Caenorhabditis elegans: one gene and its partners. The protein of the gene in region 2 purifies or fractionates together with the protein of the main gene of each other region. This does not show direct contact. Each region holds a gene or a part of one and is shown on either strand. Other genes may lie near its edges. The genes, in order: pir-1, gtsf-1, eri-3 and drh-3.

What was found.
Region 1: the proteins of gtsf-1 (region 2) and pir-1 purify together in Caenorhabditis elegans (affinity purification with mass spectrometry, with the first as the bait; one study listed by BioGRID). This does not show direct contact.
Region 3: the proteins of gtsf-1 (region 2) and eri-3 purify together in Caenorhabditis elegans (affinity purification with mass spectrometry, with the first as the bait; one study listed by BioGRID). This does not show direct contact.
Region 4: the proteins of gtsf-1 (region 2) and drh-3 purify together in Caenorhabditis elegans (affinity purification with mass spectrometry, with the first as the bait; one study listed by BioGRID). This does not show direct contact.

The regions. Positions count from the first base shown.
Region 1 is NC_003280.10:9,173,895-9,180,517, reverse strand, and holds pir-1 (RNA/RNP complex-1-interacting phosphatase homolog), read right to left. Parts: upstream 3,181-6,623; 5' UTR 3,135-3,180; coding exon 3,052-3,134; intron 2,856-3,051; coding exon 2,613-2,855; intron 2,570-2,612; exon of another isoform or gene 2,563-2,569; coding exon 2,465-2,562; intron 2,410-2,464; coding exon 2,299-2,409; intron 2,252-2,298; coding exon 2,085-2,251; 3' UTR 1,885-2,084; downstream 1-1,884. Other genes in the region: RNA-binding protein sym-2, read left to right, coding at 1-8, 932-1,399, 1,450-1,635; sec-5 (Exocyst complex component 2), read left to right, coding at 3,371-3,437, 3,487-3,592, 3,641-4,009, 4,054-4,249, 4,302-4,536, 4,595-5,010, 5,057-5,351, 5,415-5,512 and 2 more. UniProt on the Caenorhabditis elegans protein: RNA polyphosphatase which has RNA 5'-triphosphatase and diphosphatase activities. Displays poor protein-tyrosine phosphatase activity. Binds to 5'-triphosphorylated RNAs (also called ppp-RNAs).
Region 2 is NC_003282.8:16,862,240-16,868,188, reverse strand, and holds gtsf-1 (CHHC U11-48K-type domain-containing protein), read right to left. Parts: upstream 2,350-5,949; coding exon 2,266-2,349; intron 2,217-2,265; coding exon 2,131-2,216; intron 2,069-2,130; coding exon 1,729-2,068; 3' UTR 1,685-1,728; downstream 1-1,684. Other genes in the region: T06A10.107 (uncharacterized protein), read right to left, coding at 382-666; ING family member lsy-13, read right to left, coding at 2,864-3,061, 3,120-3,446, 4,096-4,314; mel-46 (ATP-dependent RNA helicase), read left to right, coding at 4,751-4,931, 4,981-5,161, 5,358-5,413, 5,469-5,607, 5,673-5,797.
Region 3 is NC_003280.10:1,121,721-1,128,291, reverse strand, and holds eri-3 (Reverse transcriptase domain-containing protein), read right to left. Parts: upstream 4,759-6,571; 5' UTR 4,757-4,758; coding exon 4,651-4,756; intron 4,606-4,650; coding exon 4,532-4,605; intron 4,358-4,531; coding exon 4,186-4,357; intron 4,015-4,185; coding exon 3,833-4,014; intron 3,253-3,832; coding exon 2,908-3,252; intron 2,586-2,907; coding exon 2,419-2,585; intron 1,970-2,418; coding exon 1,889-1,969; intron 1,840-1,888; coding exon 1,664-1,839; intron 1,542-1,663; coding exon 1,308-1,541; intron 909-1,307; coding exon 820-908; intron 667-819; coding exon 556-666; 3' UTR 501-555; downstream 1-500. Other genes in the region: taf-6.1 (Transcription initiation factor TFIID subunit 6), read right to left, coding at 148-300; sut-1 (SUppressor of Tau pathology), read left to right, coding at 5,039-5,059, 5,120-5,193, 5,244-5,328, 5,426-5,624, 6,487-6,571.
Region 4 is NC_003279.8:7,817,669-7,828,316, reverse strand, and holds drh-3 (Helicase ATP-binding domain-containing protein), read right to left. Parts: upstream 7,487-10,648; 5' UTR 7,475-7,486; coding exon 7,377-7,474; intron 7,318-7,376; coding exon 7,144-7,317; intron 6,891-7,143; coding exon 6,815-6,890; intron 6,768-6,814; coding exon 6,686-6,767; intron 6,641-6,685; coding exon 6,116-6,640; intron 5,929-6,115; coding exon 5,803-5,928; intron 5,757-5,802; coding exon 5,575-5,756; intron 5,494-5,574; coding exon 5,312-5,493; intron 5,115-5,311; coding exon 4,789-5,114; intron 4,353-4,788; coding exon 4,072-4,352; intron 4,029-4,071; coding exon 3,120-4,028; intron 2,681-3,119; coding exon 2,580-2,680; intron 2,524-2,579; coding exon 2,385-2,523; intron 2,338-2,384; coding exon 2,231-2,337; intron 2,129-2,230; coding exon 2,077-2,128; 3' UTR 1,939-2,076; downstream 1-1,938. Other genes in the region: glna-3 (Putative glutaminase 3), read left to right, coding at 187-467, 795-1,041, 1,464-1,826; D2005.7 (NAM-associated domain-containing protein), read right to left, coding at 8,080-8,144, 8,286-8,498, 8,549-8,738; D2005.4 (TPR_REGION domain-containing protein), read right to left, coding at 9,112-9,117, 9,177-9,845, 9,896-9,987, 10,035-10,254, 10,307-10,389, 10,435-10,648.

The DNA of each region.
Region 1 (6,623 bases), on a different chromosome or scaffold from region 2:
AAGCTACTGTAAGTGAAGTGATTGGTTTGGGTTTTTTCGTGGGTTCTGGAGGTTGAGAACATCACATTTATGTTGTCAGGGGACCAGAAAATTGTGATAATATTATAGAATGGGAAACACTTTGGTGCTGGCTGGTGGCATTCTTTAATTTTCACTATAAATTTATTTTGGGGTTTTTAAGCCGAGTCATGATTGTTAAAATGAGAATTTTGATTTTTTACCTGTTTGGTCGGGCTAACCACTAAGCTCTATCATTTTTCGGTATAATTTGAATGGATATTGTTTCATGGTAAATTTAGGCAGTTTAGGCAAATAAACCGCCCCCGTCAAATAGATTGATGATGATGAAGCTGTAGCTCCGTGAGTTACAACAGGTGAGAATACAAAAGAGTATTTAAGTACTTACTGATGAATATGTTCCGATGACAAATATTCAAATGTTGAGCAGAGGTGGGGGGATGAGAAATGTGGGGCGTTAGTTAGGAATTTACGGTCTTTTATCATATATGAGTATGGAGTTGTTTGATAAAAAACTAAAGATTAAAATATCAAAATATCAAGATTTCTATATCTCCAACATGACCGAGATATAAGCTCAAAAAGTAAGAAAAAGAGGTTCACTACTTTTAGGTGAGTCTAGTAGGCAGGTACGCCTTCCTGCCTGCCTGACTGTTGCCTGTTTTCTGCATTTTTAAGTTTAAACGTTGGTGCTCAATAGTATAGACTTTCGCATTTCTAAGTGTATCATTCATAGTAACTTGGCAGAAGGCGCGAAGTCATATTGTAGGCAGGGATCAGCGACAACTCTTTCTTCCAAACTTTTTTTGTTTTCTGCGCTGAAAAAACCTACCTGACAGGTTTTAAATGAACATATGTTCAGAGAAATTTTTATAAAACTTATTTTCTAGTACACAAGTTAATGCTCTTCCAGGTGCAACATATCGTCACATTCCTTGGTGACTTTGCAACAATGGTAAAGTTCCAAGGTGTTCATATGGTATACAACAATCAAGGTCATCCATCAGGTGAAGCATTCATTCAAATGATCAATGAGCAAGCGGCTTCTGCCTGCGCTGCTGGAGTTCACAATAACTTTATGTCTGTTGGCAAAAAGAAGAGATACATCGAAGTATTCCAAGCATCTGCTGAGGAGCTTAACCTTCATCATCTGGTTGGTCAACAACATCAGGTTCCACCACCGGCTCCATTGGGTTTCATGGGGCAGCTGCCACCACAGGCACCACAACCACAACAGTTCTGGTCAAGTTACCCATCTCCACCAATTTCACCAATTGTGCCAGGGCAGGTTACCCAATTGATTATCTATGGTATCCATATGAGCATCGGAGTTCCTGAGCTGGTGGCTAATTTCACAACACCGGAACATACTGTTGATAATGTAAGTTACTCATAAGTTTCTTATAAAGCTAAAACAAAAACCAATTCCAGGTCCTATTCACACGTTGGCCAACTCATTTGTGTCCGGGAGAAGCCATTTTGACGCTCCGCAATCGTGGTGCTCCACCGCCTCAAACGAGCCCATTATCACAAATTTCTCAGTTATCTGCTCCGAACTTCGCTGCTTATTCTCACCATCCACAAAACTTCCCACTTCAACCGATTTTGATGGAATAGATCGAGTAAAGCTATCGGAATAATTAATTATCATTTAATCATGTTTTCCTAAATTTTTCTCGTTGAATTCCCGTTCACTCCCATCATAGTATTCTGTTATTTCTTGCCCTAGAGCCCTCATTTTTTGTCGCATAATTTACTGCGTCTCATCACTTCCAAACCTGTCTCTCTCTCTCACTCCAACCGTCTCTCCACATCCATCCATTCATCTTCACGTTCGCAATTTCTGTGATTTGACCAAAAGTTGACTCTTTTCCGCCCTAATTTATTGTAATTTCCTGCGAAAAAGTTGTGATTCAAAAAAAAACTGTGATTATTTTCCATGTGTTGTACTCAGAAAGAAATCTATTAATAAATAATAACAAGTTTACCCGATTTTTGTTCGGATTTACAGAACGTAACAGTTAAATGACAAGTAATATTAGAAGAACAAACAACAGTATTGGGTGTTATTGAGAATTATTTCGATGCAACTGTTCACTCGAAATTGTGGAATCGGCTGAGTTTCCGCTGCTTTTTCCGCTGCTTTTTCCGTATTTTTTCTTCCTTTCAGCTTCGTACAATGATTTTTTGTAGTGTTCCCGCTCCATTGGATGTCCACGGTAGTATTCAAACACTGAAAAATAATTATATAAAACATGTGTTATTGGATCCAAAACTTACTAGAAATCGCATCGGATGCACTATAATTATCCACGTCAATCATATACCGGCAAATAAGGTATCCTGTTCTGTTGAGCCCATGAGTGCAGTGTACGCCAATCAGTTTTCCATCTGCAAATGTAATCGAATAAAAAAATTTTAATTTTGTTCAAAAAAAATTATCTACCGTTTTCTTTATCGTTCACAAATTCCTTAACAGCATTAATGAAGTCTTGCACAAGATCTTCTCGTTCGTTCACCTCGTGACCGGGGCAATTGAGTTTCCTATAAACTTTCGATTTTTCTAAATTAAATGTTAAAAAATTCCAACTCACAAATACTTGACTCCGTGATCTGCCCATTCCGTCTTTTTATAATATCTATCCGTATTTGTGAGATCGATAACCAATCCAATTTGTTTATTAGCCTGTTGTGCCAGAGAAATCAATGTTTTTACACCAAATTGAAGCTCCACAGGCATATTTTTCCCATCGAAGAATGATGAATCTAGTGGTGTTTTGAATGGAACAAATCGAGTCCCATCGATATCACGGCCGACGTTATCGTAAATATTCCATCTGAAGAGAAAATCGATAATATTTAAACTTTGAAAGAACAAGTTTAAAGGTATGTGATGAAACTTTAAATTTTTTTAGTTTTAAAAAATTTGACACACAGAGAAACCCTTTTCAATTATTATCAAAAACTTTCTCAAGAGATTTATTTCCAATTAAGAACTATTGGGACTAATTATGGAATTAACTGTAAAAAAACCTGTCTGGGAGTCTCTTTCCTGGAAGCCTTTCATATCCGCGTGGGCGATGCTGATAATTGTGATTATGATGGTAATTAGACATGACACTGACTGAAAATATTGAGATTAAGATTGAGTGGCTCAAATTTAAAAAATTAACGATTGCTGTGCAACGAGGCTCCGGCATTCCGCTTAGCGCCTTGTTTATTGAATCAGTGTGTACTCCACTCGGACAATCTGTGGCTCATGTATTTATTTTTAATTTATTTTAAAATATTTTAATTTTATGATACTTTAACGTTGTTAATCAGATTATAATTGAATAATTTTTAAGCGTAAATGGAAGAAAACGCTCAAGCTCGGGAAAGACTACCTCCTACGGTAACAGGGCTATCGCCCACTGAAGGTGAATTTAGAAAATATGATTTCGGTCTTAAATAAACATAATTTTTCAGGAGTCCCTGGAACTCAAATAACAATAAGAGGAGAAAACTTGGGAAATGATCAGAGTGATGTGATTATGCTTTTTATATGTGGAATCGACAGTTTGTGGAGTATGAAGTGAGTATTCGAATTCTTTTAATTTACATCTCGAAGCTCAATTTTCAGATGGAAATCCCCATCAAAAATTATTGCCCGAGTTGGTGCAGCATCACGTGGTCCCGGTGAAGTACGAATAGCGACAAAATCCGGTGGAAAAGGCTCTTCGAATGTCAAATTTCGTGTCTTCATTACTCAAATCGGACCACTTGAAGAATCCGCAGTCTGGGTAGATGAAACGAGAACAGTTCCAGGAAGAGAAGCAATTCGAAGTGTTCCACAAATTCAAGATGAAAGAGATGCACTTGGATTACTTCCAAGTCAGAAACGAATGGATCAAGTTCTTCTCTCAAGAGATTTTCCTGATTGTTCTGGCAATTTAAGAATGGAAAATTTCTCTCCACAATGGTATCTTCTAGAGAATCATGCAGACGCCACGTAAGAAAGTTGTTTAATAATTTTAATTAATTTTTGGATTTCAGAATCGAAGATCTACGAATTGCTATTAAAAATATGGAATTATCAAAGCAAAATGAAGCGAAAAGAAGTGAAGAAATGCACAAAGCAAACTTGTATTCATTGATTAATTGTGTGGATACTTTGGCAAATCTTCATCAAGCGTTAGAAAAAGGAGAAAATGCTGATCATTTTGCCGCTTTAAAAAACATTTCTAAACTGGTATATAGCTGATGAAAAAAATGAAATAAACTTAATTAAAATTAAATTTCAGATCAAAGACTCCAAATCGAAAGCAGAAAATGTGTTTGCCGATGTCTTAAAACGAAAAGATGATGCAGACGCAACTAGAAATGCTCTCGGAGTCATTGTCAGATTCAAGTTCATCTTTTTCCTTTCTTCGAAAATTGAGGACAGTATGAAAAAGGGTGAATATATTACAATTCTCAATGATTATACAAGAGCAAAATCGTTGTATGCAGACACAGATGTTCCGTTGTTTAGAGAATGTACGTATTTAATTTTTCAATTTTGAAAAATAAAAAAAATGATTTGATCGATTTACAGTGATGACTGAGATCGATGAGAAAATGCAAGTATTCAAGGAAGAAATGAAACGAAAGCTTATCGATACTCCAGTCTCATATGAAGAACAAAGTAAACTTATCAAATATCTAAAAATTCTGGATCCAGAATCAGACCCTACTTGGGATTGTATAACCTCTTATTACGTCTGGCTTGAGAAAAGTCTCTGGGATATGCAGACGCAATTTTTGGAAAAAGCTAAATTAGAGGATCTTGAAAATCAGCAGAGAATCAATTCGCAGAATCACCTGATTACGAAAACCAATGAGCTACAGAACTTTGTGACAACGCTGGTTGAATTATTATTGAGCAAACTTCCCTCATTTTGGAAACTTGCCAACACATATCATAACTCAACGGCTTCTCCTGATGCCATTCAACGATTGGAGGATATTAATGTTAGTGTATTGTAAGCAGAGTTTTGAAACATTTTAATAATTTCAGCAAATGCTGACCAACATCATAAACGTCTCATCGTGGCTGATTCTGAACGCCCTGGTTCCCAAAGCTCTTCCTGATATGGTCTTGAAGCAGTACGGAGATCAATTTGCAAAGTGGCCCACAGTTCCTGCTGATATTAGTCGTTCAAATCTTCAACTCAGTCTAAAAACTACAAGATCTTTGATTTCTTCACTGCTTGAAAATCAATTCAGTCTTACTCATGTTCAACCGTTAGTTGAACTGTGTATGACTGCCAGATTGAAGTTGCTCTCCGATTTCGTAGATTGTGGAGTGGAAAGTGAGTATAACTTTTATACAATAAAGATGATAAATATTATTTTATAAAATATTTAAATTTCAGGAGTTGCTCTTCTTGCTCACCGAATCAACTGGAAGCAAGATATTCTTGACAGAGCACAACAAACAAAGACAATTCTTCCTGATTATTATGAAAATGAGGTTATTTTCCATTTAACGGAAGTTATTAAGATCTATCTATTATTGCAGATTTGCGAATGCCTTACGCGTACTCGTGATGCTCTTTCCATTTCTGGATATCCTGGAGAAGCTTGCCTTTTCTCTCGAGAACGTTTCCGTGACACAATTATTGATCTATTCGTACATCTCATCACTTCTATAAAAATATGTTTCGATCGGTTATTCATTCGACAAAGACCTCAACAATTGGCTCAAGAACCTGGACAAAAGAAAGGAAATAATGAAATAACGACGAAAAAACTTTTAATTGCCGTTGGAGATATCGAATTTATCATTGCAAAAACGCTGAATAATGTTGGCAAAAAGATGCAAGAATGTGGAGTTAAACATGTTGATCAAATTCAAGAAGTGAGAATGAAAAATTTATGCTTCACAATTTTTTTTTATTTTCAGAAATCTCGAGCAAAACTTTCCGCATTCCGAACTAAAATGATCAATGATTGCATTGCGATGATGAGCAGTGCATTTGAACCTCTTATTGCTTCAGCAACTTATGAGTACTTACCAGATGATGATGGTATGTTCAACGATTTCAGATGATACCAGAGCTGAATCAGATTATTTTTTCGAAATTTAAAACAAAAAAGTTAGAAAATACAACAAAAAAGTGAACAAAGTTTTTTTTTAGTTTGAAACATTATTTTTAAATTTTTTTTAAATATTTTGGCTGTAATGGAACTCTTTTTATGTATTATTTACACAAAATTCTGAAAATTCGTATTGAGCAACATAGTTGACGCGCAAAATATCTCGTAGCGAAAACTACAGTAATTCTTCAAATGACTACTGTAGCACTTGAGTCGATTTACGGGCTCAATTTTTAAAATTAATTTATTTTCGAAAAGTTACAGCTATTCTCAAATTTTCTTAAGTTTTTCGTTTTTCCAAAATAGTTTTTGTGTTTTCATTCAAAATTTTATCGATGAAAAAAGGTTTTTGTAAATCGACACAAGCGCTACAGTAGTCCAAAAAAATGAATGAATTACTGTAGTTTTCGCTACGAGATTAAAAAAAGATATTTTATAGAATTAATAATTTTGAATGTTGTCTTTTTTTTGTAAAAAAAATAAAA
Region 2 (5,949 bases):
AGGCCCGGAATAAAATTTCCAGCCAATTTGTGGCTGTGTGTATCCCTTTCTCCTGACAAAATGTGATCTACTAACTAAAGCGCCGATGATATTATTGGCTAACCATTTTCTAGGCGTGACTTGCGGTCTTGTAACATAATTAGACAGATTTACGGTGCGTTGCGTGTCGCGTCGCGGCTCGGTTTTAGTTGTAAAACTAAATGTATTTGTCCGTGTGGAGTACACGACACTTTCCCCCACGAGTTAACCGCCAGGCGATTGTCAATGGAGCGCGAAAAATTCAATGAGGAAGACCAGAACCCTGTGAATTAGGCAAAAAACACTTTATTCAAATGGGAAAGAATCGATTTTTGACTATTTCTTCTCTGCACACATCTCTTTTCAAACAATCATTGGTTGTACACCGGTGGTCATCTGTGCTCCTTCAGTTGTAGTTTGTGCTCCGATCGGTTGACCGACAGGTTGCGGGTTCCGCATTCCATTATTCGAGTATTGATTGTTCTTATTCCGGCTCCTCATGAAAAAGTAGATCCCTGCACCGATTCCAGCCGAGGACAATATGCAACAGCAAATGCAGGCGAGAACGACGATTATGATGATTGTTGGGTCGCCTTTTGTAGAAGAAGAAGAGTAGGATGAACCATTGGAAAAATAGTCACGAGTCATCACGAAGCGATATTTGGGAGAAAATGATTGGAATTTTGAGAAATCAGTGATTTTATAAAGGAATTTTTGCGAAGAGGGGTCAGGGTTCACGCGAATTCTTACTTTTCAGCTGTTTTTGAACTGTGTAGGGGCTTTTTTTTAGGCCACGGGCTTCCAGGATCCCAGAGCTTTGGCAAGAGAGCTGGGAACCTGGGCCGCGGCCATGACCGCGACGCAGCTGCCAGCGGAACGGCTCAATCAGAAAAGGTTGTTCTTCGCCTAGAACTCGGGATTCACGTTTTCTCGCGGACGAGAAAACTTGAGAAATGTGAGAAAATGGCCTAGAAAATCCTGGAAGAGGAGAATTCCTCGTCCACAGCCAAAATAGCGTGTGAAAGAAGAGACGCAGACGACAAAACGGTTATTCTTTGCGTTTTTCACGTCCAGAGAAAAAAGTAGTATCTGCGTCTCTCACGCCCAATGGATAGCGAGAGTTGGCGCCAACGTGAATTCTGAATGAGGCGCGTTTGCTTCAAAATTATGCAAAAAGGACAGCCAGCGACCACGTGGGGATTGTTTATAATTTTCATGGGTTTCTGACTTTTTTTAAAGTTTAACTTTTCTATAGAATTTACGTTATAGAAAAGTTAAAAGTTATAGTTATAGATGATGTCCCGACGCCTCCCGGGTGCTTTTCCGATTTTCGCGCCAAAAAATTCAATTTTTATCGGCTTTTTCCAGTTTTTCACGGGGTTCTGGCCTTCCTCTCATTGAATTTTTCGCGCTCCATTGACAATCGCCTGTCGGACAACGCGTGGGAAAGTCGTGTACTCCACATGGACACTAAAACCGAGCCGCGACGCGACACGCAACGCGCCGTAAATCTACCCCAGATATTGCCGAGCCAAAATGGCCTAGTTCGGCAAACTCTTCCATTTCAATTTATGAGGGAAGCCAGAAATCCGTGGTTTTTTGGTGGCTTTTTCAAAATTCGTTTCGAGACCCGGTACCATAGTTTTAGCACAAAAATTGAAAAAAAAATGCTTCTCTCATTTTACTTGTTCCACTTTTTTAAAAATAAAATCACAAAATTAAATTATCATTCTTCATTTCCAAGTAAGCAAGCCGATTGATCGTCTCGAGCATCATCTCCACCTCTTCCACATCCGATTTCTCGATTTCCGACGTCACCGACAGATTCTTCTCCTCCTCGTCTTCATCCGAGTCATCTGATCCATCTAGCGACTCCTCGTCCTTCTCGTACTCTTTCCGAAGCTTCTGTGCCGCCAGGTGCTCCGCCACGTTCAGCTCCAGCGGCTCCAGTGACAATTGGCGTCGAAGATCGGCGGATTGACGTTTGCAGAAGATCTCGTGGAATTGGAGCTCTTCTTCGGGAAGGAAGTGACGCATGTTGTAGGAGCATCTAAAAAAAATAATGATAATTATTATAGAAAAATTGGAAAATTAATTGAGCAAAAAAAAAACCTCTTCAATTTCAACGAATGCGGGTAAAAATGCAATTTTTCCGTGCGACACTTCCACAAGTGCGTGTTGAACTCCTCCATTGACACCTGAAATATAAAATTTTTAATTTTAAATTAAAAATATATCAATTCCAACCTTGTGATCCGAATTGTAAGGGCATGTTATCGAAAATCGATCATTTTTTGAAGTCCCAGGGGCCTCCGATTCTCCCGACGCCATCTAAAATTTCGAAAAATCAATAAATTCGATGAAAAATTGGATAAAATCGCCAAAAAAATTGGATGAAATCGAGGAAAAATTCTTGGGCGGGGCTTCGTAAATCTACACGCAATTGTGCCGCACGGGGTTTTGCAAGGAGTGGGCATGGAAAAAAGCCTTGACCGCGACGCATCGGCGTGCGGAGCGGCTCGAAAAAATGTATTTATTTCAGCGATTTCACCGAAAAAATTGAAAATCCAGCAATTTTAAAGGAAAAACCCAACAAAAATCCAAGTTTAATCAATAAATCGTTAATTTTCAGTTCAAAATCTGAATAAAATTCATCAGAACCGTTGTGAGAGTCAGAAAAAATAATTTTTTAAACAGAAATTTATATGCAAACAAGTTTCAGTTTATCATAGAATAATAAAGCAAAATGGGAGATCAAACCAATACAATTTTGTGATCATCGGATGATTTTTTTTCAAATAAAATAGGTACACAAGCGGCAAATCAAAGAAAAAAAACCAATTATTCACTTCTTCTTCTTCAATCCCTTTCGTTGTGGAGCCTTCTGCGGAGCCTCTGCAACCGCCGCGAGACCCTGTGCACGGCACTCATTGGTGCAATACCAGTCGCCGGCTGGAGCAGTGATCATTCCGATGCATGTGAAGTGGAACCATCCGTACTTGCAGCCCGGATTCTCGCATTCGATCATTGTGTCGTTTTTATCCTGAAATTATCCCAATTTGGCGATATTAAGCGGCGGCGGAAGCTCACGGAGCCCTTACCAGTTGACACCAGCAGTACATTTTCGGTGGCTCGGCGGCGGCCACTGCTTTCTCGGATTCTGGCTTTTTCTTCCGACCGCGCTTCTTCTCATCCACCGACGACGGAGCATCATCATCTCCCTCGGAAAGCTTCTTCTTACGATGACTTCGCACTGACGGAGAACTGCTTGGCGGAGTTTCCGGTGCTTTTGGAATCTTATTCAGGTTTTCAATGAACTTTTGCTCTTCTTCCATGAATTTCCCGTAGACATCCTTCAGAAGAACCTTCAAACCGCTCGCAATCTCTATTTTTTGGTCGGAATATTCGGAAACTTTCGCCATTTTCTTCTGAAAATTGATAAATTCGCATTTTTTAGGTGAAAAAATCATAAAAATTTGGATTTATAGGTGAAAAATCACAAAAATTGCGATTTTTAGGTGAAAAAATCATGAAAATTGTGATTTCTAGCTGAAAAATTATAAAAACTGGAATTTTTAGGGGAAAAAGCATAAAAATTGGGTTTTTTAGGTGAGAAAATCATAAAAATTTGGATTTTTAGATAAAAAAATCACAAAAATTGCGATTTTTAAGTGAAAAAATCATAAAAATTTGTATTTTTAGGTGAAAAAATCACAAAAATTGTGATTTCTAGCTGAAAAATTATAAAAATTGGAATTTTTAGATGAAAAAATAATAAAAATTGCGATTTTTAGGTGAAAAAATCACAAACATTGCGATTTTTAGGTGAAAAATCATAAAAATTTGGATTTTTAGGTGAAAAAAATTATAAAAATTGGGTTTTTTAGGTGAAAAAATCAAAAAAATTTCGATTTTTCGCCTAAAAATCGCGATTTTTATGATATTTTCACCTAAAAATCCAAATTTTTATAATTTTTTCATCTAAAAACCGCGATTTTCATGATTTTTTCACCTATAAACCGCAATTTTCAAACTTTCGCCATTTTCTTCTGAAAATTGTTAAATTAGGAGCTAAACCTGCATAAAAGTGAACGCTTTGGTCTTTTGTTCGGCCGTCATTTCCTCATAATTCGCAAAAAATTCGATTTTGTGCTTTTTAGCAACTTCCATCTCCTTCTTCGCAAGAATATCGAGCCGTTCAATCTCGACAATTGCTTTTTTCGCTTTTTCCGGAACTTCTCTATTGATTTTCGAGAAAACTTGGATCATATCGATGACGCAATCGTCGATTTCCATTTTTAAGCTGAAAAATGCAATTTTTGAGGAAAATCAGAGTTTTAATGGCATTTTTCGTTTCAAAATCCATTAAATTAACTTTTAATTTCATTTTTTTAAACAAAAAATGTGCTAAGAGTCATTAAATCAATAAAAAACCAAAGATTTCCCGCAAAAAACAATGACAAAAAAACAACAAAAAAGTGTGCGGCGCTATTGCGTTCGCTAAACTCCGCCCATAGAACCGCGCCCCGTTGCGAAATTTGCGAAATTAGATATTTTTCAGCGGTTTTTTTAATGAATTTTCCGTCCAAAAAATCGAGTTTCAACTGATTTTTTCGCGTTAAAAACCAAGAAAATTATTGATTTTTCCAATTTACTCGGTAAAAATCCCGAAAAAGCCATTAAAATCTGTAAAAGTACAGAAAAATACAGCAATTTTTAATTTTCAGAGCCAATGGAGTTCTCCGAGGTAATCGAGGTATTAGACCGCGGCAGCTCGATCGATGTCCAATCGAATTGCACGTTCGAGTCGCTGATGATCGGACAAAAGACGCTGGAACGTCTGAAAAATAGCCAATTCGACAGGCCGTCTCCAGTTCAGGCCCGGGCCATCCCAGTCGGCTTGCTGGGAAGAGGTCAGCCTATTTATAAGGGCCTGGGCCTTAAAAACTGCTATTTTTTCAGATATGCTTGTTCAGGCCAAGTCAGGAACCGGAAAAACGCTCGTTTTCTCGGTTTTAGCCGTAGAAAACCTGGATTCTCGATCTTCACACATCCAAAAAGTCATTGTGACTCCGACGAGAGAGATTTCTGTTCAAATTAAGGAAACTGTGCGGAAAGTCGCTCCGACCGGCGCTAGAACTTCGTAAGAAGACCCAGGAATCGTGAAAATCCCAATTTTTATGATATTTTCACCTAAAAATCGAAATTTTTATGACTTTTTCCCCTAAAAAACCCGAATTTTTGTGATTTTTCACCTAAAAATTCAAATTTTTATATTTTTTCACCTCAAAAATCCGAATTTTTATGATTTTTTCACCGAAAAACCGCAATTTTTTCAGAGTATACGTTGGAGGATCCGCTCACAAGCTGAATCTCATCGATTTGAAGCAAACGCGTGGGTTTTTAAGCCAAATTATCTGAAAATTCCGCATTTTTTCTCTATTTTTCAGGCCCACAAATCGTCATTGGAACTCCTGGTCGGATAGCACAGCTCGTCAAGCTCGGAGCAATGAACATGTCCCATGTGGACTTTTTTGTGCTCGATGAGGCGGATAAGCTGATGGATGAAGTGTTTAGAGATGATATAAAGTACGAAAAATCATAGTTTTTCCCCCCCCCCCCCCCCCCCCCCCGAAAAACCTCGGATTTTTCAGTATTATCATCAATTCTCTGCCTCAAATCCGCCAAGTTGCCGTGTTTTCAGCCACCTACCCGCGAAATCTTGACAATTTGTTGTCGACTTTTCTCCGCGACGCGGCACTTGTTCGGTTTAACGCTGGTACTGAAAACAACACATGTTTTTTATTGGAAAACACTGGAAAAATTGCATTTTCCGCGAAAAACTAGTTAATTTTAGCTTAAAAATTGGCTAAAATGATGAAATATCACGTTTTCTCGTTGAAAAAAATAATTTTTCGAGCCGCTCCGCAC
Region 3 (6,571 bases), on a different chromosome or scaffold from region 2:
AGCGCGTTTACAGCACTTCATCGGTGGGAAATTTGAATTTTTGACTCAAAAAATTTTTTTCTGCAATGTAAGGGTGAAAAATCCGCGTTTTAATGGAATTTTGGCTAAAAAATCGCAAAAAAAACCACAAAATCCCGGATTTTTTACCAAAAACTCCAATAATTCGGCGGCTTCTGTGTTCAAGCTGGTAATTCCGAGCATTTCAGCGGCGGTTTGTGTGAAAATCGGAGTCTGGTGAGCAGCGGGCTCTTCTGAGGTTTTTGTGGGCGATGGGCGCCGTATTGTTACGGTTTTTGACATTTTAAGTGGCGAGGAGCTGAAATTTCAGATTAAAATTCATTTTCCCGTCGACCGCATGTCGCAATCGCGCCCCGATGCCAATTTATCATTGGAGCGCGATCGCACCACCAAATCGTCGGGAAATTCAAATTTTCCTCTTAAAATAGGTAAATTATGGGTGGGAAACCCGAAAAAGGCGATAAAAAATCAGAAAAATGAGAAAAAAATCGATAAAACTATTTATATTTTTTTTTTAAATTCACACGAGTTAGTTTTTCATTCAATAAACGGGGATTCTGTACAATCTTTGATAATATTCCGCCGAGTTTCCATTTTCTGCACAATTTCGACGGGATGGTCCCGTGGGACGGTTCGCCGGTACCACCACTGAAAAAAAAAATCGATTTTTGGGTGGAAAATTGGCTATTTTCTCAATGTAGCGCACTTGCAGCACGCGGTCGGCGGGAAATTTGAATTTTTTGTTGAAAAATACAATTTTCAAGCTGCAAATGCGCTCCAATCGACAAAAATCCATATTACCCCGCCGGCGAGCGGTCGATTTTCGGAATTTTCCTCGATTTTCGGGCAAAATGTGCTCATAAACGTCCATTGCACGTCGTCGTAGATTCCTGAACGGAAAAAGGGCTTAAAATTGAAAATTTGACTGAAAGTCCAAGTTTTTGGGTGGAAAAATGAAAATTTGGGCATAGCTTCCGCATCTCCGGTGGCAAATGTGCTCTACGGATAATCCAGGGCTGGAAAATACGGATTTTAATGGATTTTAAGCTTTTTAGCTTAAAAAATCATAAAAAATACTTGTTTTCGACCCCAGATTAGGCGTAAAGAACAGAAGCCACAATTTTTACTTTTTAGGGAAAAATCCGATGGTTACTGTAGCTACAGTACCCCCAAATCAGAAAAATGCTCCATTTTAGGGAAAAATAGGCAAAAAACCTTCGAAAATTCATGTTTTAACCGGCTAAAACATGCAAAAAACGCCATTTTTTCGCGAAAAATCCAATTTTTACCAATATATCTCCGTTCTGTGGGCTTCCAGCGAGTATCGGGTAGCACGAAATGCGGCTTCACACGTTGATTCAACGCAAAACCCTCCGCGTCCATAAGTGCTCCAAAGAGCTCGCGAATCTCGTCGACCGTCGGTTTTTCAACGATTTCCACACGTTTTTTCGGATTTTTCGGGAAATATTCCACAATTTTTGGAGTTTCCGCTGCTTTTTCCGGTTTGTTGAGGCCAAATGGTTCTGAAAACAGGATTTTTATACGAAAAATTCAAATTTCGCGGGGATCGCACGCTGCAAATGCGCTCCAATGCGAATTTTCGCCGATTTTCGCATTAGAGCGCATTTGCAACATCTAAACCTACCCAAAACGTTTTGAATCGATTTTTTCAGCGATTCGCTGTACTTTTTTGGAGTTTTCGGCAAAATTTCACCAAATGTCCTCCAATTTTTGTCGATTTTCTCGATTTTTATGCCCTCGGCAAGTCGATCGATAAAATACGAGTTGATAATCGATTTGGCCTCGCGTTCCGGTAATTCGCTGGAAAAAATCGATATTTTTTGGCTGAAAATTTGAATTTTTGATCTACCTGAAGCATCTGTCGAGGATGAGATGTCGGAGCTTGAATTGAGCACTTTTCGAGTTGAATTTCAGGCAATTCGTCATTTTTCTGCAAAAAAATTGCGTTTTTCCGGGTAAAAAAGCTGAAAACGAAAATTTGGGCATAGCTTCCGCATCTCCGGTGGCAAATGTGATCTACCAGTAATCGGGGATAGAAAATACGGATTTTAATAAATTTTTCTGCTAAAAATTCATTAAAACCGGTATTTTCTACCCCCAGATTAGGGTAGAAGCACAGGAGCCACAAAAAAATATTCGAAAAATGGTGCAAATGCGCTCCGATGCAAAAATCTGAAGAAATTTGCATTGGGGCGCATTTGCAGGAGAGAAATTTAAATTTCAATCAATTTTCCACACAATTTCGGCATTTTTATGAGTGTAAGTGCGCTCTAATGATAAATTTGCGGGAAATTTGAATTTTTGGGTTTTTTAACGGATTTCCTGCTCAAAAATGCCGGAATTTCAAATTTTTCGCTGAAATTTTCGAGATTTCCGTACTTTTTCTTAACCTCTCCCTTTTCCGGCTGCGGTGGCACAAATCTCAAATCATTTTTCGTAGTGGTTTCCGCTTCTTCCGGCGATTTTTCGAGCTTCTTACAATTTTGCAGAATCTCATTATTTTCCAGTACAAAGCTTCTCTGTGTGCTGGCGTGGGCGAGGTAATTCTGGAAAAAAAAAATTTTTTGCAAGTTTTTGAGTGAAAAATTCAAAATTTGGGCATAGCTTCCGCATCTCCGGTGGCAAATGTGCTCTACGAATAATCCAAGGGTAGAAAATACGGCTTTTAATGAATTTTTGGCTCAAAAATAACCAAAAATCCATTAAAATCGGTATTTTTGACCCCCAAATTAAGGTGGAAGCACATAAGCCACGAAAATTCGATTTTTTCAGTTAAAGTGCCAATTTTTAGGTAAAAATCGCGGGAAAAAACACGAAAATCTCAAATTTTTTGCGTAAAAATTGGTAAAAAATCACTAAAAAACGAACATTACACAGAGTGACGTCATAGCCATACCATTTGTATGATGACGTGGCAAATGTGGGGTCGGCAAGCACATTAATCAGTGAGCCAATGCTGACTTTTTCGAGAATATTCGAGTGGCAAGACGTCGAATCAAAGTAGATCGATTCGGAATTTTGCAGGAAATTCGCTTCCATAAAATGATTTTTCATAATTTTTGTGATGACAGCGGCGCCGGATCGGCCCGGCGAATTTCGGCACTTTTCAATGACGAAAAATGGGATTTTATCGACGTTTCCGTGGATTTCGACGCGGAATGGTACTGCCGCCAGGATAACGTCCACCATTCGATTCGTGTTCTCTCGGTGTCTCTGGAAAATTTGAATTTTTGGTGAAAATCCGCTTTTTTAGCCCAAAAATTCAAATTTCCCGCCGACCGCAAGCTGTAAATGCGCTCTATTGCAAATTTTGCATCGGAGCGCATCTGCAGCATGCGATCCGCGGGAAATTTGAAATTTCAGGTTTAAAACTGATATTTTGAACGAAAAAAGTGAATTTTGAGTAGAGATATTCTGTGTAAAGTAGTATTCTGACGGGAAATTTGAATTTTTGAGTTAAATTCTATCAATTTCAACCCAAAAATTCGAATTTCTCGCTGACCGCAAGCTGCAAATGCGCGCTAATGCAAAATTTGCATTGGAGCGCACTCGCAGCACGCGGTGGGTGGGAAATGTTTTTTTAAGTGGAGAATGCACGTTTTTCAGCCAAAATTAAATTTTTCTTCGAAGAAAATTGTTTTTAAAAAAATTTTTCAATGAAAAATCTAATTTTCGGCAATAATTTATTTAAAATTCACTTTTTCAATTAAAAATTCAAAGGCAAAACCCCGTTTTTTTCGCAATTTTCTCAATAGAGCACATTTTTTCCGTTGGAAAATTCAAATTCCCGTACATCTTTAATCTCGAATTCGGTGCGTCCAATGCTATGCGCCTTTAAGGTCTCGTAGCGAATAACAGGCGAGCAGTTCGGATGGAAAGCTACAGTAATATTTCGTTCGGTGACTCCAATTGCGACGCCAGCAGTCGACGGGGAGTTGAATGTGACGAAAACCTGCTCGCGGAGCATTGCACAACCTGAAAATTTGAATTTCTCATGATTTGTTCGGTGGAGCGAGCTTGCAGCATCCGGTCGGCGGGAAATTCAAATTTTTAGGTTATAAACTTGAATTTTCACCGAATTTTCGAATTTGCAAGTGTTTCAGGGTGAATTTTGGCGGGAAATTCGAATTTCCGGGTCAAACTTACACTTATAAACCTCCATTTTCTCGATTTGCACTATAATATGATTCCCGCGGACCACCCGTTCGAAGCTCCGGCTCCAGAAGATCTGAACGACGGATCCCACACCGATTGGGTCGAAATTTGACGGATATTGTATACACGTGGCTTTTGAGAAGATAAAATGAATGCCGGAATCCTGAAAATTGCGAGTTTTTAAATTTTTTGCAAAAAAAAAATTGGAAAATCATGGTTTTTTTTTCGATTTTTAACTGTTTTTTCGTCGTGTTTTTAAGGCAATTTTTGCGATTTTTATCAATAATTTGCATATTTTAGGACTCCAAATATCGATTTTCCCTGGAAATTCCCTTACATCAAACGCCTCCTGCGTAATAACCTCTCCGGTACCATTCGAATAGCATATTATGACACCAGACGAGCTTGAATCTGAATTTACAAGCTTTAAAATCAAATTTGGCACTAAAAACTCACAATTTGCGCCTTCAAACTGGTCTTCTTGCTCGATTAAATTGAGTTTTGACTCGGATTCGTGCGATTTCACCCGTAATGGTCGACTATTTACAAGAACGGGTTGCATACCTGAAGAAAAATCGGATTTTTAGGAATTTTTATTGATTTTAACAGAAAAAATCAGAAAAAACGGGAGAAAATGAATAAAAATAGCGAAAAAATCAGCGAAATTAATTCAAAAAATCGTGGTGGCCGAGTCTAAAGTCAAAATGGCCTAGAAAACCCCTCCTCGGCCACCATTTATTTTTTTGAAAAAAATTGTTTTTTATCGATTTTCGCCAGTTTTCCGTCGATTTTCTCCATTTTTTCTCATAAAATCTATAGAAAGTTATTTAAATTTCAGATAATTATGTCGGGAGCCTCGAAAAAAGTGAGTTTTTATCGTTTTTCAAGGATTTTTCGCAGAAAATCGATTTTTCTCTATTTCCAGGTATCAGAGGAAGAGTTGCAGAAGCAATACGCAGACTATCGAGCTCAATTCGAGCAGTGGAAGGAGAATAATAAGTGGGAAACTCGAGTTTCGGGGAAAAATTGCAAATTTGGATGATTTTCAGGGGTTCCATTGGCACGGAGGCTTATAATTCGTATGTACAGCAATTCGAGCAGTGGGAGAAAGAAGTGGAGGCGAGAACGTCACAGGTTCGTAAAAAAAACCTAAAAATTATAGAAAAATCTGGAAAAAAGACAATTTTTGACCCAAAAATGCTGAATTTACTTTAAAATGTTCAATTTTCAGCAACAAAAGCACCGAAAAGCGGCGGCAGTTGACAAGGAGGCAGAAGCGGCGGCGGCCGCCTACGCACAATCACAAGAAGCCTACATGGCACATCATTTGAGAGGAATGGAGCAGACGGAAATGCAGAAAAGAGCCGCTGCTGCAGCTCAGCTCCAGCAGCAACAAATGATGCAGAATATGATGATGCAGAGACCGCCACGTACGGTTTTTAACCGGAAAATTTGAATTTTTCGCTGAAATTTGCATTAGAGCGCATTTGGAACAGCCGAAATTCAAAATTCCGTAAAAATTTGACTTTTTCGCCGATATTTGCATTGGAGCGCCCTTGAAACACGGAGAAATTCAAAATTTTGTAAAAATTTGATTTTTCCACCAAAATTCGCATTGGAGCGCACTTGGAACATTCAATATTTCAAAATTTTATGAAAAGTTGAATTTTGAACCGAAAATCTCAGTTTTCCGCTACAATTCACACTAGAGCACATTTGCAGCACCGAAAAGTTCAATTTTTACGAAAAAATCGAATTTCCCGCTGAAATTAGCATTAGAGCGCACTTGAATCACTCGGAAATTCAAACTTTTGTTAAAATATAAACTTCCGCCTAAAATTTGCATTAGAGCGCACTTTAGACACTAGAAAATTCAAGAATTCTGTGAAAATTTAAATTATTATTTGAAATTTGCATTGGAGCGCACTTGAAACACTTGAAAATTCGAAATTTTGTGAAAATTTGAATTTTTCACCAAAATTCGCATTAGAGCGCACTTGAAACACTTGAAATTTCAAAACTTTAGAAAAATTTTGAATTTTCCGTTAAAATTTGTATTGTAGCGCATTTTAGACACTAGAAAATTCGAATTTCTCGCTAAAATTCGCATTAGAGCTGATTTGCAACACCGACAAATTCAATTTTTAGGAAAAATTCGAATTTACCGCCAAAATTCGCATTAGAGCGCACTTGAAACACTCAAAAATTCAAAATTGCCAAAAAATTCAAATTTCCCTCTAAAATTCGCATCAGAGCGCACTTGAAACACTCAAAAATTCAAATTTTTACCAGCAGAACACCAGCAACCACCGCCACAAGACGTGATGTTCGGAGCCGTAGGACGTGTAGCTCAGGGAGCTCCAGCCGCCGCACCACC
Region 4 (10,648 bases), on a different chromosome or scaffold from region 2:
CAATTTTTTTCAACGTTCTACCAACTTAGGCTCAAAGCTCAATATCTTTACAGTTTCAAAATAAATCCTAGGTTCAAATTTAATTTAGGAACCTCAAAAACAGAATGAAAAATCAAAATAGAAAACCAATGCTTCCTGAAAAAGTGTCTTCGTACATAACCGTTTATATTTTTACTGGATTTTCAGATGATCCACGCATGCCGAAAATTCGTTGGCAGTGGCTACATTGGATTTGATAATTCTGTTTTCTTGTCCGAACGGGAAACAGCTGATCGAAACTACGCATTATCGTACTACATGAGAGAACACAAAGTTTTTCCAAAAGATTTAAATTTACAAGACACTCTTGATCTCTATTTTCAAATTTGTTCTATTGAAACAAACTGTGATTCATTGGCTGTGATGGCTGCAACATTGGCAAATGGAGGTGTCAATCCGATGAATGGAGAACGAATTGTGAATAATCGGTTGGTTTGATACAATTCCTGATATTATTTCGTATCCATGAAAACATTAGGTAGGTAGGCATAAAGTTAGGCAGGTTTAAGGAAGGTACAAATGCCTGTAGGTACACGGTAGACATGAGGTCTGCATTTTTTGCGTTTGAGACCATCTTCCCTTCTAGGCACAGCCGTGGCAGATTAGGCCTGCCTTGTAGGTAAGCAGGCGATTTTGTGCCTGCTTGAAAGATCTAGTTTCTACTTTAACTTATTGATAAATTTACAAGTATTGAAACTTTAGTTTATTGCTGGAAGATCTACTTTTTTGTTTCATTAAACTATCATGTTCTTCAGTGCTTGCCGTGATACTCTCTCATTGATGTACTCTTGTGGAATGTACGATTGGTCGGGGCAGTTCGCTTTCCACGTAGGTCTTCCAGCCAAATCAGGAGTATCTGGAGATATGATTATTGTGATTCCGAATGTGATGGGTATTGCCTTGTACAGTCCACGACTTGATAAACTTGGAAACACGGTTCGAGGTGTCAAGTTTGCAGAACAGCTCGTACAAAAGTATAACTTCCATAATTATGATAGTCTGGTAAGTTATCTCAAAATAGAAAATTCTAAAGTTAATTTATTTGAGTTTTCTTTCGAAATATCTTATGGTGGGGGCGCAGAGAGAATCTCCTTTAGAAATCGACCTGGAAACGCGCTCCATGGCAAAATGAAAATGCTCCGCCCCCGAACCATGGGTCTCGTTAGGTATTTGGCGGCAAAACCGTATGCAACATTTATTTAGTTTTGCCGATTTTGTCAAATTTTTTAATTTGTTGTAGAATTTTTATTTTTTTATTCCGCCAAATTCCTAACGAGACCCATTGCTCGGGGGCGGAATGTTTTCAATTGTCCGTGGATCGCCTTTCCACGTAGATTACCAAACGAACTTTTCTCTGCATCCCGAATAATATATTTGGTTAAAAATTAGCATTTTCTACTTAAACCATAATAATCCCAATTCAGATCTACTCGGATAATAAGAAAATCGATCCTCGTCGTCAATTGAAAGATGATCATGACGGTCAGAATCGTTTCATGTATGCTACAAAATTGGGTGATATTGCTGCAATTAAACGATTCCTTTTGATGGGACATGATATTCATTGCAAAGATTATGATGATCGAACAGTTTTACACGTGGCTGCTGCTGAAGGAGACGTTGTCACATTGGAATACGTATTGAGTAAATGGCAAGAGGATCCGAATCCATGTGATAGATATGATAGAACTCCATTGGATGATGCTAAACATTTTAATCATACTGCTTGTGTTAAGCTGCTAGAAGAGGCAATTACGGTTTACAATCTTAAAGGACAAGATGATTAGGAATAGATGTTCTAGAAATTGATTTAAATTAATAAATCATTCCATTTTTTGTCATTTGTTAATTTACAGTCAAATTGTTGGAAGAAAAATTGAAAGATCAATTAAAAAAATAAAACTAAATAGAGCTTTATATTATTCAAGAGATCGAATGAAAATTGCTCGGTAAATAGAACACGATGAATGATATTAAAATAACAAAAAAGATTAAGAAAAATTGAATTCTCGTACAAGTTGGAAATCCTTGAGATGATCATTGAGCTTCTGGTGCAACTCCCTTCGTTGGTGGTTCTTGTTGAATATGGCTGAAAATGAAAGCATTATTATGATAATAGAGAGTTTATCCGTATTTTTTGAGCTTCGAAAGTGTTAAACAGAAAAGGAATCACAATCCAGAGCACACTTACAATCTCTTCATCTCGAGTTGCTTATTGTGTTGTCGTGAGTCCAAATCAAGAACAATCTTCTTTTCGATATTTTCTTCAGTATCGGAGAGCGCATTCAACATGATTCTCTGTAAATTCGTACAATTTTTAAATAATCAAGTGACCAAAATCTTACAAAGTCATCCTCGATTGCTTCTGAAATATAAAACAGATCCTGTTCCACATCCGACCATTTTGCTTTTGTCATCGAGGAATAGTCTGATTCTTGAACAAATGTCAACGCCTTGACACTGAGTTGCGGCAAATAGGTTCCTCTGTAGAAATGTTGTTTTATAAGAAACGACTTTTAAATAAATTAAATTTCAATTACCTTATTTTGTAAGCTCTTCCAACATCCAACTTGCAATGGAAGCATTTGATATCACTGAGTGGTTGATTGTCCTCACTCAAGTACTTACTCACCTTTCGCTTCTGAAAAAATTCAATTTTTCACAATCACAAATTGCGTTTCTATGATAAACAGAAGTCGGCTTAGCTGAAAAAAACATTTACTTGAAACATCTGGAAATTGCACAAAAATAGCCTGAAAGTCAATTGTCGGAAAGCAAAGTTCGGAAATTCAGCAATTTGATAATCGGCAATTCGACACTTCCAGGTAATTTTTAAGCACTTTATAAATGTTTCAACCTGAATAAGTTAATTTCAGATGAATAAAGCGATTTTTTTACTTTAAAACGATTTTTTAGTGACAGAAATTTTTTTAATTGTCTTTTTTTTTGAGAAATTTTAGGTTTCGGTTTTTTGGGAAAATGGTTTTACAGCCCTGGTCTACGAGTATAATCTTACAAAATTCATTAAAATTATATTTTCGACAAGCCGGCTCCGGTTTTTGAGCATTCATCAAACGTACCGATTCAACATGCAAAAATCTCCATACACTTGGATCGAACACCATGTAATTCGAGAACACTTTTTTGATATAAATACTCTTGCAGAACTCTTTTGAACAATTGCTGCACATCAATTTATAAATCTTATTCTCATGTCGTAATCTCAAATTGAGTTGCTCTTCCAGATTTCGTTTCCTTTCAGCCGCATTTAGTTCAGCGACTCGTTTCACTTCTGCAGCCAATTGTTTCTCGCCATTCTCTGTGATCTTCTTCACACAAAGTCTCATATACTTTTCAGAGATTAACGCGTTAGTCTCGGTTTCATTGATACTACTCTTCACTGATAAAAGCACAGAACGAGAGTTTTTGGCACGTGCACGACCTCTTTGTTGAACAAGTTGAATGGCTGATCCTGATGAACAGTTGTACTTGATAATAAGATTACATGCAGTAACATCGAGACCTTCTTCAACAACTGACGTTGCCACAATTACTTTAAGTCTTCCATTGTTGAATTTATCAAGTGTCAATTGTTGTTCTTGTGAAGTCTGCTGTACAGCGCCCTGTTTGTTTGTTCCGAGAACATATCCAACCATTTGTTCACCATAATTACCAAATTGATCTAAAACTTTAGATTCGTTCAAGAAATCACTGACACGTTGAGCGGTGCTTCTTTGTGTTACGAAAATAATAACTCGAGATTCAGGAGCCACGTGGAACTGATTGGTGAGTGTATTCTTGAGACGTAGAACAATTTCTGGTTCAACGGATTGAATTGTTTGTTTCAAAGTATCATGGTCTTTGATGAAGGTGCTGTATTCGACTGTCTCTGAATGACTTTCATTCAATTTCCCAATAGCTTTTTCCATGTATTTGAATGCAACCATCGCAGGCATCAGATCAACGATTCCGCGAGCTTCGAGATATACCTAAATCATTTCATTTACAAGAATCTTTGAAAATGAATCAAACCTTCATGTATTTCGCCCAAGTTTGAGAATTCCATTTCTCAGGAACATTCAATTTGTTCAACTCTTGAATAATACCTTGAAGTAATGAATCGTAGTACTCATAATTCTTCGGTTGATTCTTTTTAAACGTGTTAATCATATTCGGTGGGATAGTGTTGTTGCGGCCAGTTGATTTAGACATGCTTGCTAATTCTTCGAGAAATTTGCCATGGGCGTGGTTAAGGTATCGTTCGATGTAATCTCGAAGGATATTTTCTTTGGCAGGCAAGCATAGTTCGACAGCTGAGAAGAATTTTTTTGAAATAATTCTCTCATGAAATTTCATATTCCGAAGAGAAAACAAGTAATTGGTTATTTTTGGAATAGAGTAAATGAGGAATTTACTTTGAAATTGCCGGATTAGCTTGAAGTTAAACAATACCATGAGAAATAAGGGAAAACAAAGGAAATTTCAATACCGTGGTTTTGATTCTAAAGTGGGTTTTCAGCTTCCGAAGGTTTTTTTTTTCAATTCCTGTTTACAACACTTCATTTAGAAACCATTTTTCATTTTACAAGAACAATTTACAATTTTCAAATTTTTTTGAACTGTGTAAACTTGAAAATAAATATTTTTATAATTTGATACACCTAGAAATTTATCTTATTTGTATTTTAAAATTTATTTATGGTTTTTAAGAAAAAAAAAACTAAATTTCCAACTTGAGAACAAACTTACAATCATCTGGTTTTCCAACATGCTCATTGAGCTCATCTATGCTCGATTGGCGAGTGATTGTACTCAAATGTGGAGCGTTGATCAATGCGAGCATATTATAAATATCATTAAGCATCTGATTCTCGTCTTTTTGTCCATCAACTTTGACACTCAATGAAGCTGTCAGACCAATGATTTGTGGTTTTTCATACTTCCATTCTTGAACCATTTGATTAATCAACACATATGGATGATTTTTTGCAGCTTTATGTACTTCATCGAAGATCATCATTGAGAAATCACTCACATACAAACGCTCATTTTGACGTACCGATTGAAGCATGTTGCTGAAATAATTAGTTCGGGTATTATAAAAACCAGAGCTCGATCCGAAAAAATTAAACATTTTATATATCTTGATTAAAATTGCACTCTTTTTATAATTTATAATTTTTTTTGAAAAAAAAAAGTAAAATAAAAAATTAATGAGTTATATCAGAAATTTTCGATTCAGAATTTAATGAACCTGATTCCATTAACTCACATCAGAATTTGAGGAGTCATAACTGATACATGAGTAGCAATTACTTCATCACGACGTCCTGTTCCACTGACACTGCTCTCGGATCCATGAAAACCATTAACTTCGTACATTCCGTTACAATACTTCAGGAATCTGTCTTTTTGTTGACCGACAAGCGGGATTTTCGGCACAAGGAGCACAACCTGGAAAATAAAATTTTATTGCTTCTATATCAAGGGGAAATAATATTAGAACTTGACGAGAAAATTAAAAAAAAAACATACTCTGGAAGGCTTTCCTTGGGATGTTCGTTCTTCAATATGTTTGAGAGCCGCATAAATTGCCACTTCTGTTTTACCAGAACCAGTCGGAGCAACAATAACACAATTCTTTCCTTCGAGAGCCGGTTGGACAAGTTCTTCTTGATAAGTACGCAATACAAGTTCAGTAACCACCGCATCTGGATCTGGAAAAAGGAAAATTTGCACTAAATGTTGGAAATATAATCTTACTGTAGCCGCTGTCTTTCGGTTGTGGACGTATTGTCGTGCAAACATCCTCGCCGACAGCTTCCTCGTTAGTCCGCTGACTTTTCAGTAGGGTAAGGCGGATACGGTCACGTTCTTTCTCTCGTTCTTCTGAAAATTGATTTAGTTAAGCCTAGATTGTAAATCGAAATTCGTAAAATACATCAAATAGCATGAGATGGCCGAATAATAAAAAGTTAGGCATTATTTAAAATTGTATTAAAATAATTTCAGTATTTTGAAATCTGAAGTACAAAATGTTTGCCGCTATTTAATTTCCAAACAAAAAAAAACTTACCAAGCTCTTCTGGCCAGTTCTTATCCAAAAAGTAGAGAGCCGCTCGATTAGCTGGATCATTCTTCATTGCATCAATAAATCCGTAATACCACTCTTCGTGTTCATTTTTCTCTTTTTTGTCATTCGATTTGAATCCGATGATTGCGAGAAACATGGTGAGAGTCTTATGAAGACTCCATTTCTTCACAGCATATTTTTTCTCTTCTCCATTCTCGATTTTCAGCTCGAACGCTGGTCCTTCGGTTAGCAAATCTTCGACCAAATCAGTTGATAGTTGATGATTACCTTTGTTAAATACTTCAAAAGCGAGAATTGTAGTTTCACTAACACAACGTGGATTCGATTTCAGATGCTTCATAATAATCATTCCACGTGCAGCTCCAGCCACTCTATCAAGCTTCTGATATCCAAATGGATTATTGGTAACTTCCTCTTCATCGTAGAATTTATTTTTGAAAGTCTCAGCAGTTAACCAGCCATCAGGAAGATCTTCCCAGTGTGAGTATCCATAAAGTTCTTTATCGTCTGAATTTTACAGTTCAAAACGTTTGAAATTTCACGATTACTTACAGTTAAACATCACTTCGTCAGCAATTCTGAGTCCCTTCTCATCGAACAAAACAGTGTTCAAAAAACATTCCGAGAATCTTCTCTGAAATAAAAATTATTTTATTAAATGTTTTTCAAAAGTGTTTTTACCCTTTGAACTTTCTGCTGATGTGCGTGACGCAATGTAACGTATGTTTCTGCCTGTTTTCTGATTTTAACGTCGAGACTGAAAAATTGGTATTTAAAAAAAATATGGCACGAAAATTCCAGACACCATAATACTTTTTTTTGACCTTTTAAGCTTCTGTGACTCGAAAACTCACGATATTTAAACTTTTTATAAAAATTTAAGTCATTAAAACAATTTTATGTTTTCAAAACTCCGTTTCGACATCCTTGCCGTCACAGATATAGATAACACCGAAGAAATTGTTTTCGTTGGAACGTTTTTCTAATACATGATTTCTCTGTCGTCTTACTCGGCATTTCTGATTTTAATCATGTCCGGGTCATGAGAAACTGGAGTTGGCTCGTCAATGATCATTCTGGCAATTTCTTCCAATTTTCCTGGCGGGAACAGCGATTCAAATAGTTTGAAATATCCGATATCGTTGTTTCGTGTACTCTCCACGCATACATCAAGGAATTTCCATCTAAAATAATATTTAATTATTTGATCGAGTGCAAGGGGGGAAATGTATAATTTTCTTACTTGAGAAGACGAAAATACGCTGGAAAATATGGAGACTCAAACGGAAGGCGAAGCTTCGATTTGTCGTAATCTTCTAAACGTATTGCAGTTGGTTGCATTATCGAAAATATCTGTAGGAAATTATTAAATTAAATTTTGCCGACAAAACGACAAAAAGACATGTTGTTCAAACTGGCGCACAAAATATAAACAAGTGTGGCAGAGGTTTTCACATTAATGATTTTCTCTTCCTCTTGCCAATGATAAAAAGTTAAGAGGGAAATACATGAATGAACAGAAAACCATTATTAGTGTTAAAGAAGGGCAAGTAGTGTCAGGAAGGGAAGTTTTGGTTTCAGTATTCAATATTTAACGATGAGCAACGGCGGAATCAATAAAATTAGTATTTAAATTCTACAACATAAATAAATGTTTTGGCTCTTCAACCTTGTGAGAAAATAAAATCATAATATTTAAAACAAGAATAAAACTTTCATTAAAACTGCAAATTCACGGGAACCGGTGATGGAAATACGAGCAGCTGCCAACAGAAAATGAAGAAAAGAAAAGGAAATTTGAAAGATAGAACAGAAAATAAAATTCTTTCGGCAGGTTGTTGGGATGAATTTCAGCTGATGAATGGCAAATTAATACGAATAACTGGATGAAAAGAAAACATCGAAAATAACATTTTACAACGTTAAAACGAATCGTTGATGCACTTTTAAGCGTCTGGCTTTAGAAGTTCAGCGGAGTTCCTGGCAGCTTCAGCAGCACGGTCGGCGCGTTCTGAAAGAAAATAAGAGAAATGCTTTTTTTCGATATTTAATAAATTATCCATATGAAAAATTGTTAAATTCTTTCTTTACTCAAAAATCGAGTTTTAAGCGGTTTTTTGTAGGATTAATTTTCTAGCCATGAATAAAATACCTTTTTTCACAAAACGCTGCCTTTCGATCTCAATGCGCCATTCGAGAGGAAGTCGAAACCATTCTTCCACAGGATGTTGAGCAGTGAATGCTTCATCGGAGAGAGGATCATCTGGATCCACGTCCACATAGATACTTTTCGACGTCTCTTTCATATTGTCCAATGTAGAGTTTGAACAACTTAGTGATGGATTTTTAGAAATATTTTTATTTTCTGAAATTGCGAAGGTTGTTAAACTTGTCAACTTTTCTTGTAAAACGAACTTTTAGAGGCTAAGTATTTTTGGAGGAACTCTTTTGGCAACCGTTGGAAAATGTAATTCGGGTAGAACTTGGCGAAATTTCCTGTGTTCTCGTACTCCTTCAAGCACTCCTCTACGGTCATTGTTGGCTGAGAATAATGCTGAGAATGATTCTTTCGGGACCCACTTGATTTATTTTTTTTGTTGCCCATCTGGAAGATGAATATCAGCATAAAATAGGACACGGGTAGGGCTGCAAAACCTCGGTAAAGTTAACGTGTTAAACAATAAAAAGTAATACTAATATGAAAAGTGTCATAACATGTAGTGCATATTTCTGGTTAAAACCAATATTGGATAACAATAAAAACCTATAGAACAAAACTTTAAAGCGTTTATTAGAAAACACGAACAACGATACTATAGCTCTATAGAGAAAATTTTAAAGGGAAATGAAATAATCTTAACAAAAAAAAAAAGAAAAAAAGTTCGTCACTTGAGCATTTTCAAAATTTTTGAATAAAACTGTTGAACTCATCACGATGATGAATGCATTTGTGATATGTTACAAGTATTGCACGAAGATTACATCTGGAAAATAAACTCAGTTATTGGAATTATTTAACGGCATTTCTAAAAAAATAAATTACCTTGTTCGAGTAGCCGTGTTTTTCGCGTAGCCGATAAATTTCATTGATTACTGGCTCATTCAAAAGAGCCCACTTATCGTCCGGGTAGAAGCCGTACAAACAGTTCTTGCCACATTGTGCTAAGGGTTTCAGTGGGATTTTCTCGTTATCGCATGATACTCCGTCAATTGACTCGTCCTCTTCTTTCCGTTCAACTTTCACATTGTCGGGGTCTTCAGCCTCCACCGGCTCATCGTTGATCACAGAATCGGAACAATTACCAGCAGTTTCTGAATCCATATGATCTTTCGAAGTTTTTACACAGTCTCCGGTTGATTCTTCTTTCAACACTTCTTCAGAGATTACAGAGCTGGCAACGACCTGTGAAGCTTTCTCCTGGTCTTCATTATTTGCATCATCTGTGCTAGTCGCATTTTCTTGAACGATATCCGGTTCAGCAGCCACTGCATCTACTGCGATCACTCCTTCTTTTGCATCGGAAGACGCTTTTGTGGTTACTTCTTCCGATTCTTCACACTTTTCCGCGTCTCCAGGAAGTACTTCTGGGCTCTTCTCAGGTACCTTGCTATCTTCTTTTGACTGCTTTGTGTCTTCCTTCAGCTCTTCCTTATCAATTTTTTTGTGTGATGTCAAAAATTTGATCTTAATTGTGAAATGTCTGAGGAGATTCTGAAATTTCGAATGAGGTTTTTTCTATAAAGTCATATTCGATCCCAAACCTTCTTCCAATTCTCATCTATCGGCATCTCGGCGGCGTACTTTTTCATTGCTTCATAGAGCTGTGTACGAACTACTTCTTGTGGAATGTGATCTGAATACAAATAAAAAACTCACTAATAAAGAAAAATCAAGATTCACCTGAAACCGTTTTCTCGATGACATCGAGATTACAGTAGTTTGGCCACGCGGTTGGAAGTTTTGCCAAGTGCAAATAGCTTGTCACATCGGATGGATCTTTTTTCTCCTCGTTCCAAATGTCTGCAGATGACCATGGCAACTGAGCGATTGTGGTCGAGAATTTGAGAATATCGAAACGATGAGAAAGGAAAAAGATGGAAAACCAATGATGGCCCATATTCTGAAAATCGGCAATTGTTCTCATGTTTTTTTAAAATTAATATTAAACATACCGCCCATTTATCAACAATTTTCTTCTCGTCAATCACAATACCGTTTTCCTTTCTGAGAGTTTCCACGAGATTCAGAAAGTAATCTGAAATGAAAATTTTGAATTGAATTTTAAGTTTTGATTGCTAACCAATAAATTGATACAATTTCTCGGAATATGTGGAGTCTGGAATGTTATACTTGGAAAGAACGAGAACAATGAGATCTTCAAAAAACTCGTTTGGCAATTTCATCCTTTTCATTTGTGGGCGAGCAAGAAATTTGAGCACATCAACAGCCATCGTCTGATACTTTTTAGCGTCCACACATCTCATGGCAAATCGCAAAGTTGGTTCCAGTGAAAT